Linked DNA regions of Sus scrofa. The protein of the gene in region 2 purifies or fractionates together with the protein of the main gene of each other region. This does not show direct contact. Links are inferred from orthologs where the notes say so. Each region holds a gene or a part of one and is shown on either strand. Other genes may lie near its edges.

Region 1 (4,156 bases), on a different chromosome or scaffold from region 2:
GCACAGGGGGAAGCGGGAAAGGTGCTGCCATGCCCTTCCCTCACCCCCGCCCTTGAAGGATGCCCTCCACTTGCTCCAGACCCCCTGAGCGCTCCGGCTGACCTGTGACGGCTGTGTAGACGAGCTGAGGGGACAGCACCTCCGCACGTAGACAAGAGAAACACCCGGGGTGGGAGAGCCGCAAGGCGCCAAGGCCACCACAGGCCCTTCCCCACAGGGCCTCCAGCCTCAGGCCCTGCCATTCACCTCTTTTTATTTATTTATTTGCTTTTTAGGGTCACACCCATTGCATACGGAAGTTCCCAGGCTAGGGGTGGAATCGGAGTTGCAGCACCTGACCTACGCCACAGCTCACAGCAACACCGGCTCCTTCACCCGCTGAGCAAGGCCAGGGATCGAACCTGAGTCCTCGTGGTTACTACTTAGGTTCGTGACCACTGTGCCCAGACAGGAACTCATCAGTCCCCTCTTGAGGCAGCAACCCACCCGCAGCAGACACCCACATCCTGAGACCAAGAGCTGAGTATCGGGTGCTGCACTGTGGTCCCAGCACTCAACACACGCAAAGCCAGGGCTACATCTGAGCTGCGGGGCCCCTGCCCCCAAGAGGTGCCAGCCCCTCCTGGTGGTGCCACTGCAGAGGGATGCCATGTGGCTTTATGTGGCCCCATGTCCCCAAATGACAAAAGCCCCCAGTGCTGTGCCCTCTCGGGGCAGCACCAGCCCAGACTGTAATCTGAGTCCCATTCACGTTCCTGATCTCCAAGCCCTACCGAGATGCTCCAACCCCAGTGGGGCACATCCCAGCCCCCTGATATGGCCATCTGTCACCTCCTCTGGAGTCTGGAGGCCCAGAAGGAAAGGGACACAGTCTTGCAAGGCCTGATGACAGCAAATGACCTGCCTTTCATCTTGAATCTGACCAGCCTCCTTCTGTGGCCACCTGAACCTTGCGTCCACCAGAGTGACCAGGCCACAGCCCAAAGCAGGACACAGGCTGGTCCTCAGAAAGCTTCAGTCACCCATGACAATACAAGGCGATGGCAGCCACGAGCTCGGCCTGTGGGCCTCGGGCAGCCCAGCCACAGGCAGTGGCCTCGCAGTCCCCCACAGGCCTGCTCCTGCCTCCACCATGAGTTCCCGAGGGCAGGGCTCAGCTGCCTGCTTCCTGCTGCACCTCAAGCCCCAAGCCATGACCAGCTCCAAGGTACTGCAGAATTTATGGGAGGGGAAGGGTCCCCCCTTCACAGACAAGGGTGTGAAGTCATGGAGCAGCCCATGGGCACGTGTGACAGTTTTGTGGACTCCAGAGCTCTGCTCCTGGGCATGGGCTGCCTGCTCCCAACAGGACCCACAACAATCCCAGGGAGCAAGGAAAGTGGCCAGAACTGGGCAGGGAAGGGTTGCGGAACAGAGCTTAGGGTGCGCAGGAGGGTGGGGAGGTGGGGACAAAGCAGACACTGTGCCCACAGGGAGCTGGGGTTTCAGGGCGAGGACACAGTGACCACCTAGAGAAGTCTGCACCAGATGAGATGAGCGCCTCCTCAGGAAACAGTAAGACAGGGAAACGGATGGGCACATCCTCCCTGAGAAGACGAATTCCGAGTAGTTTGGAGAAGGACCGTGGGATGGGAGGGCAGCTGTGCAAAAGCCCTGTGGTAGGAGGGATCCGGGAGGGCTCTCTGTATCTGGCCCAGTGACCAGGGACCCTCTGAGGCAGAAACTGGCAACGTATTTCTGCTCTGATGGTGCCAAGGTTAAGTGACACTGAGGGCACTCCAGGTGCAGATCTGGGGTTTAAAAAAAAAAAAAAAAAAAAAAAAAGCACTAAAAAGATAGGACTGCTCAGGAATGAGCGGTGAGAAGAGGAACTACATGGAAAAGGGTCAGGCGGGAAGGAGAATCTGCAGAGGCGGGGAGGGCATGGGGCTGAAGCAGCCAGAGGGGACCCTGAGCCAACAGCTAGGAGAGGCCACGCAGGTGAGGACACTTATGGCTGGGTGAGATGTGCGCTCTGACCCAGCAGGCCAGGGGCAAGGGTGTTCACTGCAACTGCCAAGAGCTCTGTGTCCACACTGGGGGCTGGGTGGGCTATTCTGAGGGAGAGCTCACCACAGAAGAAAGGATGTGGAGCTCGGGGGACGGTCTACGGAAGATGCTCCCAGCGCACGCCCCGGGGAAGGAGGCAGCTTCCAGCACAGACCCCACAGGTGCGCAGGGAGGCGAGGCAGCAGCAGCTGGAGAGTTGACCATGAAAATGATAACTTCGGCTGTTTCTAAGACGCGGGATTCTGAGTGATCCTTCCTCCTTCGCACTGTTTTGTACCTTTTGGGCCTTTAAACTGTGCACTTACATCTTTTGCGAAAAGCAAAGTTACCTTAATGTTGCAGCAACCACATAAAACAAGGTCGGGCGGGTGGACTGCAGATAGATACACGGAGGCTGCAGGAAAGCGGACGCCAGACAGACGGGGGACGGGGATGGGCAGGGAGTGGCGAGGAAGCAGAGACAGCAGCGAAGGCGCCCTGAAGCACCGGCGCGCGGGGGGGGGGGGGGCGACGAGACTGCGGGGGTCCCCGGCCCGTCGAGCCTCCCACTCGCCTTCCTTGCGCGCTCTTGCCGCGCCGCACGCACCAGACCGCCCGCGCCGCACTCACCCAGGGGCGTGACCCTGATCTCGGGCATCCTGAGCGATGGTGGGACTACCGCCGCCCCGCCAGACCCCGGCGCCGAGCCCCTGCTGCGGCCACGCGCACTGACTGGAGGCGACACATTGCGCAGACGCAGCCTCAACTGCGCCAGCTTCCGGTGCGCTCCACGGAAGCGCGGGCGGGCGCGTTGGGCCTTCTGATTGGGCGGATGGCAGCCAATCCTGGGCGGTGGGGCGGGGGCCGGGGGCGGGGCAGCGGGACCTGGGGCGGCCGCGGCGGCGCAGGTGAGCGGCGGCGGCGGCGCAGGTGAGCGGGTAGAAACGAGCTGCAGTCGGTGGCGGGGAAACCCAGCCCAACCGAACCCGGCGGGTGGGCCTGGACCTTGCCGTGGGACCGCGGGAGAGGGCGGCCGAGGACCTGCCTCCCGCACCGGCCCGGACCCGGGGTCCCTGTCCCATCCCTGGGCCTCAGCTGGAGCAGGACCTGCCCAGGTTGGGGACCCCACCTGGTCGGGGATCTCGCGTTCCAGCCCAGCGCCACCTGGAGCCTCCTTCCCAGGCGAGATTTGCAGGACTTCCTGGACAGGGCCTGGCTCACACCCTCTGGACCTGAGGTGTTGGAGGACTGCCCCATTTTCCTTGCTGTCAGCCACAGGGCTCCGGTGCTCATGCCGGCCTCAAGATGAGCCCTGACCTTGGGGCCTGGGCTGCCTCTGGGGGAGCCTTGGCGGTGCCCTGCATCACCTTCCCAGAGTTGGCATGCTGCCCGCCCCGGCTGCATGGCCACTGCCCTTCCTGTTGTTTTCAAGCTCTGAAAGACTCCTGGCACCTCCAGTTAGCTGCTGGCTCAGGTTCTGGGCAGGAAGGCCAGGCCCACAGGATGTCTGGTGACCAGGAAGGGAGCCCTGAGGGCCTCAGAGGCCATCTGCTCCGTGGACAGAAAACCGAAGCCCTGAGAGAGGGAGTCTCTGGAAGTCTCTGGAGTGTCCTCTTCCTGAGGCCAGGCATGGCTGTCTCCCACACCTGAACACAGGGTGAGCTCACCTCCGAGCACTGGGCCTGGCATCAGGCTTGCAGCCAAGCCTGTGGGGCCTGCAGGGCCTCAGCAACCCCTGGGCCCCATCAGATGCTCTCAGCAGTCCAGATGCTGGGCAGGGCAGGGTGTGCTGGCCCATTCTCCCCGAAGATGAAGGGCGGGGTTTTAGGAGAGTGTGTGATCTGCCCAGGCATCCAGGTGTGCTCTCCTGGCTGGGCTCTCACCACAGCTTGGACGGCTGCCCTCCCATGCCTGGCTCCCAGAGCTCCCAGCACCAAGGGTACAGGAACCCCCCAGGCCCAAAGGGACAAGAGCTTGTCCTGGACTTGACGTGAGATACAGCTGGGTCCCCAGGGCCTGTCGGAGCCACACCACAGGGAAGCATGGCACAGGGTGCCCAGAGGTATCCAGTAACATGTGGGCACTGGGATGTTTGTGGAGTGACTATATGTTTGTTTGTTGCTTTTTA
Region 2 (3,512 bases):
ACATGGAAGAAGTGTATATACTAGAGAATCATTGTTGCAAAACTAAAAAAGGAAATAGGCTAATCTGTAAATGCTTTAAAAAGGTTTTTGGCTCTTACAAATTCTTAGGGTTATGAACAACCAGTTTAAAAAGGTGATGCTACTGAACGACTAACATATTATCTTGACTTCCCTATTTAATCTTCCCTCTTTACTGACAGTCATTCTGTTATCTTATAATTTGGCCTTGTCAACGTTAAAGCCAAATCCTAGTAATTTTTCCGTTCTAGTTGAATACTTGATAAAGTAAGTTTAAAATGTCTGTTTAAAAAAGTACAATACCTTCTACAGGGGAAGGATCTGGTCCTGCTTTTTCAAAGTTTATTACTACCCCACTTTGTACTTTCTGCACCAAGGACTCCAGACACTGATTAAGCATCCTTGGAGAACATACAGAGTATGAGCGGCCTGAAATAAAAAGAATAAAGAGAACTTGTTAGTTGCAGAAATTACTACTTTTAGCAAAGAAGAACCCCAGTAGGATTTTTGACAATACTGATTTACAAAAATTCAATGATAAAGTTGACTTTTTCATCATCTAATGGAAGAATAACAAAACAAAAATAGTTGTCATCAATCAATCATGTAAATTTTTTCTTCTAATTAAAGGTATAAAGAAAATAGAAATCTTGGTCTGAACAAACCACAATGAAAAAAAATCACTACATATAATATATTGTGTGAGATGTGATTTTAAAATATATAAATATAAAAAACTATCTCCAACTGTTTTCCAATACAATTTAACTTTATTGTACATACACAGCATCTGATAACCCCCAAAAAATTTTACTCCTGCTTAAAAGAAGTATTATCACTAAAGAGTAATACTAAGGACACAGCAGATACTCAATAATTATTAATTGATCTGCTAGCAGGCACTGCATATTTTAAGTACTTGCACTTTAATATACAGATAGTAGCATATGGTTTTCTGACTACCCATCTTAAGTGAATTTCCCTCTTGTATATTTTAACATATATATATATATATATTTTTTTTTTTTTTTTTTTTTTTTTTTTTGCTTTTTTTAGGGCCGTACTCGTGGCATATGGAGGTTCCCAGGCTAGGGGTCTAATCAGAGCTACAGCTGCCAGCCTATGCCACAGCCACAGCCACGCCAGATCCAAGCCGTGGCTGTAACCCACACCACAGCTCATGGCAACGGCGGATCCTTAACCCATTGAGCGAGGCCAGGGATCGAACCTACAACCTCATGTTTCCTAGTTGGATTTGTTTCCACTGCACCTCTATGGGAACTTCCTGGGAACCTCCATATGCCTCAGATGTGGCCCTAAGAAGAAAAAAAAGAAAAAGGAAAAAATATAAATGGGAGTTGCTGCTGTATCCCAGCAGTAACAAACCTGACTAGTGTCTATGAAGATGTGGGTTCGATCCCTGGCCTTGCTCAGTAGGTTAAGGATCTGGTGTTGCCATGAGTTGTGCTATAGGTAGCAGATGCGGCTTGGTTCCCACACAGCTGTGGCTGTGGCTGTGGCTGTGGCATAGGCTGGTAGCTGCAGCTCCAATTCAACCCCTAGCCTGAGAACTTCCATATGCTGCAGGTACAACCTTAAGAAAAAAAAGAAAAGGAAAGAAAAGGAAAAGACACAAGTGCAAAGATTTCTTAAACCAGATTTTCAATAAATATATCTAGACCTATGCTATCCCATACTGCAGCCACTGGCCACACATGGGTACTAAGAACTTGAATCGTAGCTAGTCCAAATTGAGATATACAGTTATACACTGGATTTTGTAGATGCAAGATGAAAATAATGTAAAATACCTCATTTTTAAATATCATTTTCATGTTGAAATATTTTGTACATACTGATTTAAATATTATTGAAAATGATTTTTACCTGTTCTTTTTTAGTGACTATATAATTTATAATTATATATGTAACATATCATATTTCTATTTGTGTGCTGCTCTAGACCAGTGCTGAAAAATAACACCAAAAATCTTTAATCAAACATAATGTTATCTGTAATAAATTCAAAATGGCAAAATCCTATCTTTAACAAATTCAACAAATTATTACCAAACACGGTATATTCAATTTACACTAAACATGTGATTTGCTAAAGACTACTCAGGAAAGAGAGTATTAGGCAGTAGTATGATTCAAATCCTCAGAGTAAGCTTTACTTAGAAAAACAAGTATCACATAACAGATGGCTTACCTGTACACAACGAGAGCCATAATTATAAAAATATCCACCAATTATTGAGTGTCTATGTACCTGGCACTATTCTAATCACATAATTAAGAGTCTCATGTTCTACCGACCAAGCTTGTGCGGCGGCGCAATAACATTATTGTATTATTTTATCCTACCAACAATTGTATGGGTTACTTTTTCCATTTTCCAAAGAGAAAACTAAAGCACAGAGAAATTAACTAAGGTATCCAAGTTAGTATTCAGTAGTACAGCCAAGATTCAAACCCTTACAAGGTATATGAAACTTTCATCTGGATATACCTAGTTCCCTGAAAATCATAATGCTAATTCAAAATCAGTATTTAAAATAGGAAGTCTATATGGAATCATACTTATATGAATGAATTGTCAAATTAAAATCTTTTTTTCTGAGTAAATTTAAACATACACATAAAACAACACATTAAAAGGCTGATTGTCTTAAATCACAGAGTATTTAGAAAATTTTATAAAGGTTCAGTATCTTATTTCATGATATTTAAGGATATTCCCAAGATGTCATTAAAAAAAAAAAGTTTTTAAGTATAAAATGTGGCAATCCTCTCTCTACTCCCCTAACTTGTATCATTAACTAATTGATTAGAAAAATACAAGTAAATAAGTTATGACCTTTGCATGAAATAAAATTATTAGCAAAGACATTTTATAAAAATTGGAGAAAAAGTATATAAACTTGAAACACTTAGAAAATAATAAAAACCCATCAGTTCTTTTCAAAGTTAAAGCAAATTTTTCTATCTTTGCAAAGTGAACCTATAACCTATGTTATGTTTCTCTTATTCTTTATGTCAAAACTCACCTCCTGGAAATGTATAGCACTTTGTATTGAAGGATAAAATTTCTGGGATCCCTAATTATATCTGTGAGAAAAGCACACACTTTTAAGTCAAGGAGCTGGCTCACTTGTGGTTACGTAGGGTCCACAAAAAAATCTAAATATGATGAGTCTGAAGGCAGTAAAGTGAAAGAAAACAAAACAAAAACAAAACAAAATCTACTTTCCCCCCAGAGTATACTAGATGATGATTTTAATAAAATGGGTAAGAGACAAAAGGAACATTTCTAAGTTAGACAACACTCCTTATAGAGGCTAAGTTAAATTTTTATTTAATTGAAAAAAGTCTTGTAATTCTTGTAAAATGCTTTTTATCCTCAGTACTTCCACCAACATGTCCATTAGGCATGTTTTTATAATTTGATATAATCCCTGAGCCCCTCCTCAACCTGCTTCTCCTCTGAGTAC
Region 3 (4,118 bases), on a different chromosome or scaffold from region 2:
GTTTGATCCCTGGCCTTGCTCAGGGGGTTAAGGATCCGGCGTTGCCATGAGCTATGGTGTAGGTCGCAGACGCAGCTCGGATCCTGTGTTGCTGTGGCTGTGGTGTAGGCCAGCGGCTACAGCTCTGACTAGACCCCTAGCCTGGGAACCTCCATGTTCCACAGGAGCAGCCCTAGAAAAGGCAAAAAGACAAAAAAAAAAAAAAAAAAAAACAACCATAAATTTACAAAATTAGCCACCAAAAAAAAAAAAAAAAAAAAAACCACACCCCTGGGAATACTAGAATTGCCATCAAGAAGGAAGAGTCTGTTACCTAATGCAGCTCTGGTGAAAAGATGCAGGTAACCTAATCCTTTCCTGCCCTCTCCCTAGTTCTAAGCCTGTTATCACATCACAGGAGCAGAAACAGGGCTCTAGAGGAAGGGAGCCATGTTTAATTAGCAAAACCTAGGAGTAAGGCATAAAGCTGGCAGACATCAGCACCCCAGTCCCTCGTGTGCTCCTCTGTGGGACAGTTCTCACCCCCTCTGCTCCCTGTCCACACCCACTAACCTTCTGCTGCCGCCCTTTGGCCTCCTAAGACCCTGCCCCTGGGAAGAGATGCTGTGGAAAGCAGAATGTGAACAGATCAGACGCTGAGGAGGAACAGCTCCACCTGTTGTGTATAAGTGGGCATCCAGGTGTATATCCACTCTTGTGTGGCGGGCTCTCAAAACCCCTTGATGCCCCTGGAGCCTCGTCAATCTGAGGCCCCATGAGATTTTAAGAACATAGCCTGCCCTGGGCTCTGGACAACATCTCCACACTGTCTTTCTAAAAGCTGCAAGCAAGGTGTCAGGAAAAATCCCTTTGAGAACGTGAGTTCCCTGCTTCTCTCGATTCCTGACCCCCGACCTCCCAAGCAATCACACAGCATACCCGGGAGTACTGCAGCTTGTCCACAATGTCGTCACTAGTGAGGGGGATTAATCCTGGAAGACAGAGAGAAGCAGTTTAAACAAGGTCAAGGGGCCAAGCCAAAGGAAAAGCCAGCAGTCCCCTTGGGAGTGAGGAGACTTCCTCCCCTGAAACCGGCAGAGCCCCACTGCCCTGCCCTTTAACTTCCCAAACCCAGCACTCACCAAGCCTGTGAGCAATGAACTCGTCGTGAAGGACTGAGGAATTGGCATCAATCTGAACCCAGTCAATTGCTAAAGAAATAAAGGAAGCAGAGCAGATATGCAGTTTAGCCACCAAATTCACCTGAAGGCTTAAGAACAGTGGTTCTTCAGATTTAAAAATTATCTAATGCTTACCACATTGCAGACACCAAGGCCAGGCTGCCAGAGACTGATTCTGCAGCTCTAGAGGGGGGCCCAGGAAGCTACACTTTAACAAGAACCACATGCCAACATGCTCAGGTGGATCTGATACAGGGAGTACCCTACACCACCCAGAAAAACAGCGACTTGTAGACTACTACAGAAAGGTGTTTCTCTGAGTTGACTATTTCTGTGGGAAGCACTCTAGTCTACCATTCATGCCATCACCAAATCCAAGAACACAAACTATTTGAACACCTCAAAGTTAAACAAATCTCACAAAAACAACACAGACTTATGATCCATAGTGCTTTTTCTCCCCCTCTGATTTTTAGGGCCACCTCTGCAGCATATGGAAGTTCCCAGGCTAGGGGTTGAATCAGAGCTACAGCTGCCAGCCTATGCCACAGTCACAGCTACTCAGGATCCGAGCCCTGTCTGAGACCTACACCACAGCTCACCGAAATGCCAGATCCCCGACCCACTGATGGAGGCCAGGGATCGAACCCACAACCTCATGGTTACTAGTCGGAATCGTCTCCACAGCACCACGACGGGAACCCCATATCACAATTTATGGTATAATGACCAGACTGATTGCATTCCCAGTGCCTCGCACCACTGCCTGGTACTTATAAGCTCTGTAAACTCAGTGGATGGAACAGATTCATAAAAAGATATTTACCGGTACTGAGCACTCACTAAATACAAGGCAATTAATAGAGATTACCCCACTTAATCCTTGACGTCACCCTGATAACTACTATTAGCGTCCGAATGTTAAGAGGAAATTGCAGCACAGTTTGATAACTTGCCTAAGTTTCACAAAGACAGTATTCGACCTCAAGTCTGCAAACTCCTGAACCTGTGCTCTTTACCTCGAAGAGTGGAACTGAGTGGCCCGTGGGAGCCAGGGAAGGGGCCACAGTGGCCCTGGGGCAAGAGCACGGGGTCCGATCAAGTCTCCAGCATTGCTGTTTTCGCAGCGCCCCCACCCTGGGCCCCAAACAAGGCTGGAGTCAGGAACGCCAAGGTATGGGGAGGTGGGGGAACTGGTGGCCCTGACCACGAGGAGGCGAGGGCCGCTTACCTATTATGGGCACCTCAGCGATGAAGACCCTCCGGATAGAATTCGCCACCCTAAGGAATGAAAACCAAGCGGCGCGTGGGCACCGCAGACTCGACAGCCGGCCCCGCGCCCCACGGCTCCCAAAGCAAAAGCCCCGGCTCCGGGGCCAGTTCAAGAAAGACAGACCCCCGCCCCTCCAGAGCCGAGGCCCCGGGCACTCTGAAGCCGCCAGCCCCTTCCCTCAGCACCCTTACGCCAGGTCCGTATTCTCGATAATGAACTTGACATTCTCGTCGGTGAGCTCGGTGATCCGCACGGTTGGCTGGTTGGCATACGGCATCGCGCCAGACTGCTCGCGGGGCCTTGGGGGTCGGTTCTGCTGCTCGCGCCCCTGCGCCTGCGCCTGCGCCTGCGCCTGCGCCTACGCCGCCACCGGAAGTCGTTCAGCGCGGTCCCGCCGCTTCCGCAGAGACACGCTCAGAGCGCCGCCTGCTGCTCGGAGGCCAGGCTGCTCCGACGTTTTCTACCCTCAACCTACTTCAAAAGGCACCAGGTTCAACCATTTAGAAGGCGACTTAGTAAAACATGCACACGCCCTTGACTCCACAGAAACACTTCTAGAAATTCATATGAGAAGTGCGTGCAGTTGTAAGCAAAGATACATGTACAAGGATGTTCATTGCAGCACTATAACAAAAAACGATAAATAAAACGGATTGCCCACTGACACAGACCTGGTTAAATATACATAGGAATACTATAACAGTGTTTTTGGGGTAGGTTGTTTGGGGGTTTTGGGGGGTTTTGGGGGGGTAGGGGGGGTTGGCATGTGAAAGTTCCTGGGCCAGGGATCAAACCCATGACACAGCAGCAACCTGAGCCACTGCACTGACAACAAAAGGCCTTTAACTATATATATTTTTTTCTTTCTCCTTTTTAGGGGTGCACCTATGGCACATGGAAGTTTCCGAGCTAGGGGTTGAATTGGCACTGCAGCTGCCAGCCTATGCCACAACCATAGCAACACCGGATACTTAACCCACCCACGGAGGCCAGGAATCAAACCTGAGTCCTCATGGATACTAGTCAGGTTCTTAACCCACTGAGCCACAATGGGAACTCCCAACAATAATGTCTTTTAATGAGGTTTGTACACTGATGGAGGAACAAAAAGACAGTCAGTCCTCCCTATCCAAGGGTTCTTCAAGAAGACTGAAAGAAAAAAAAAAGTCCATAGAGTTCCAAAAAAGCAAAACTTAAAAATTTGCTCACACCCAGCAAATATTTACATAACATTAAACATTGTATTAAGTACTATAAGCAATCTAGAGATGATTTGAATTATGTGGATGTGTGTGGATTATATGCAAATCTTATGCCATTTTATATAAAAGAATTGAGCATCCAGATTTTGAGAGGGGACGGGGGAGTTCTAGAACCAAAAGCCCAAAAGACTGAGGGATGACAATACTTTACATGTACTTAGCAAAATTTGCTTGAGTGATAGGTTTATACCCTTTCCCTTCCACTCCTAAGTCTGGATCATGCACTTTTGACACTGCAGGAAGATGCAGTTCTCTTCAACCTATCACCTCCAGTTCTGCGGAGGTGGGTGGGTTATGATCTCTTCATCTCTGCATCTCCAGTGCCTGGCAGTGTGTGTCACCCAGGGGCAATGTACGACAAAGAATTATGCAAGTCCCCTAAACAGTCCCCCTAGAGAGAAGTTTGAATAGGCCTCAAAAAGG

Evidence for each region. The genes of interacting proteins can lie anywhere in the genome.
Region 1: the proteins of INTS6 (region 2) and INTS11 purify together in Homo sapiens (affinity purification with mass spectrometry; 3 studies listed by BioGRID, with this or other methods). This does not show direct contact. The link is inferred for Sus scrofa from reciprocal best matches to the Homo sapiens genes INTS6 and INTS11.
Region 3: the proteins of INTS6 (region 2) and POLR2C purify together in Homo sapiens (affinity purification with mass spectrometry; 3 studies listed by BioGRID and IntAct, with this or other methods). This does not show direct contact. The link is inferred for Sus scrofa from reciprocal best matches to the Homo sapiens genes INTS6 and POLR2C.

What each region holds. Positions count from the first base shown.
Region 1 is NC_010448.4:63,605,095-63,609,250, forward strand, and holds the start of INTS11 (integrator complex subunit 11), read right to left. Parts: upstream 2,810-4,156; 5' UTR 2,687-2,809; coding exon 2,659-2,686; intron 1-2,658.
Region 2 is NC_010453.5:16,441,272-16,444,783, reverse strand, and holds part of INTS6 (integrator complex subunit 6), read right to left. Parts: intron 448-3,512; coding exon 322-447; intron 1-321. UniProt on the Homo sapiens protein: Component of the integrator complex, a multiprotein complex that terminates RNA polymerase II (Pol II) transcription in the promoter-proximal region of genes.
Region 3 is NC_010448.4:19,392,260-19,396,377, reverse strand, and holds the start of POLR2C (DNA-directed RNA polymerase II subunit RPB3), read right to left. Parts: upstream 2,810-4,118; 5' UTR 2,711-2,809; coding exon 2,625-2,710; intron 2,442-2,624; coding exon 2,392-2,441; intron 1,191-2,391; coding exon 1,122-1,190; intron 972-1,121; coding exon 919-971; intron 1-918. UniProt on the Homo sapiens protein: Core component of RNA polymerase II (Pol II), a DNA-dependent RNA polymerase which synthesizes mRNA precursors and many functional non-coding RNAs using the four ribonucleoside triphosphates as substrates.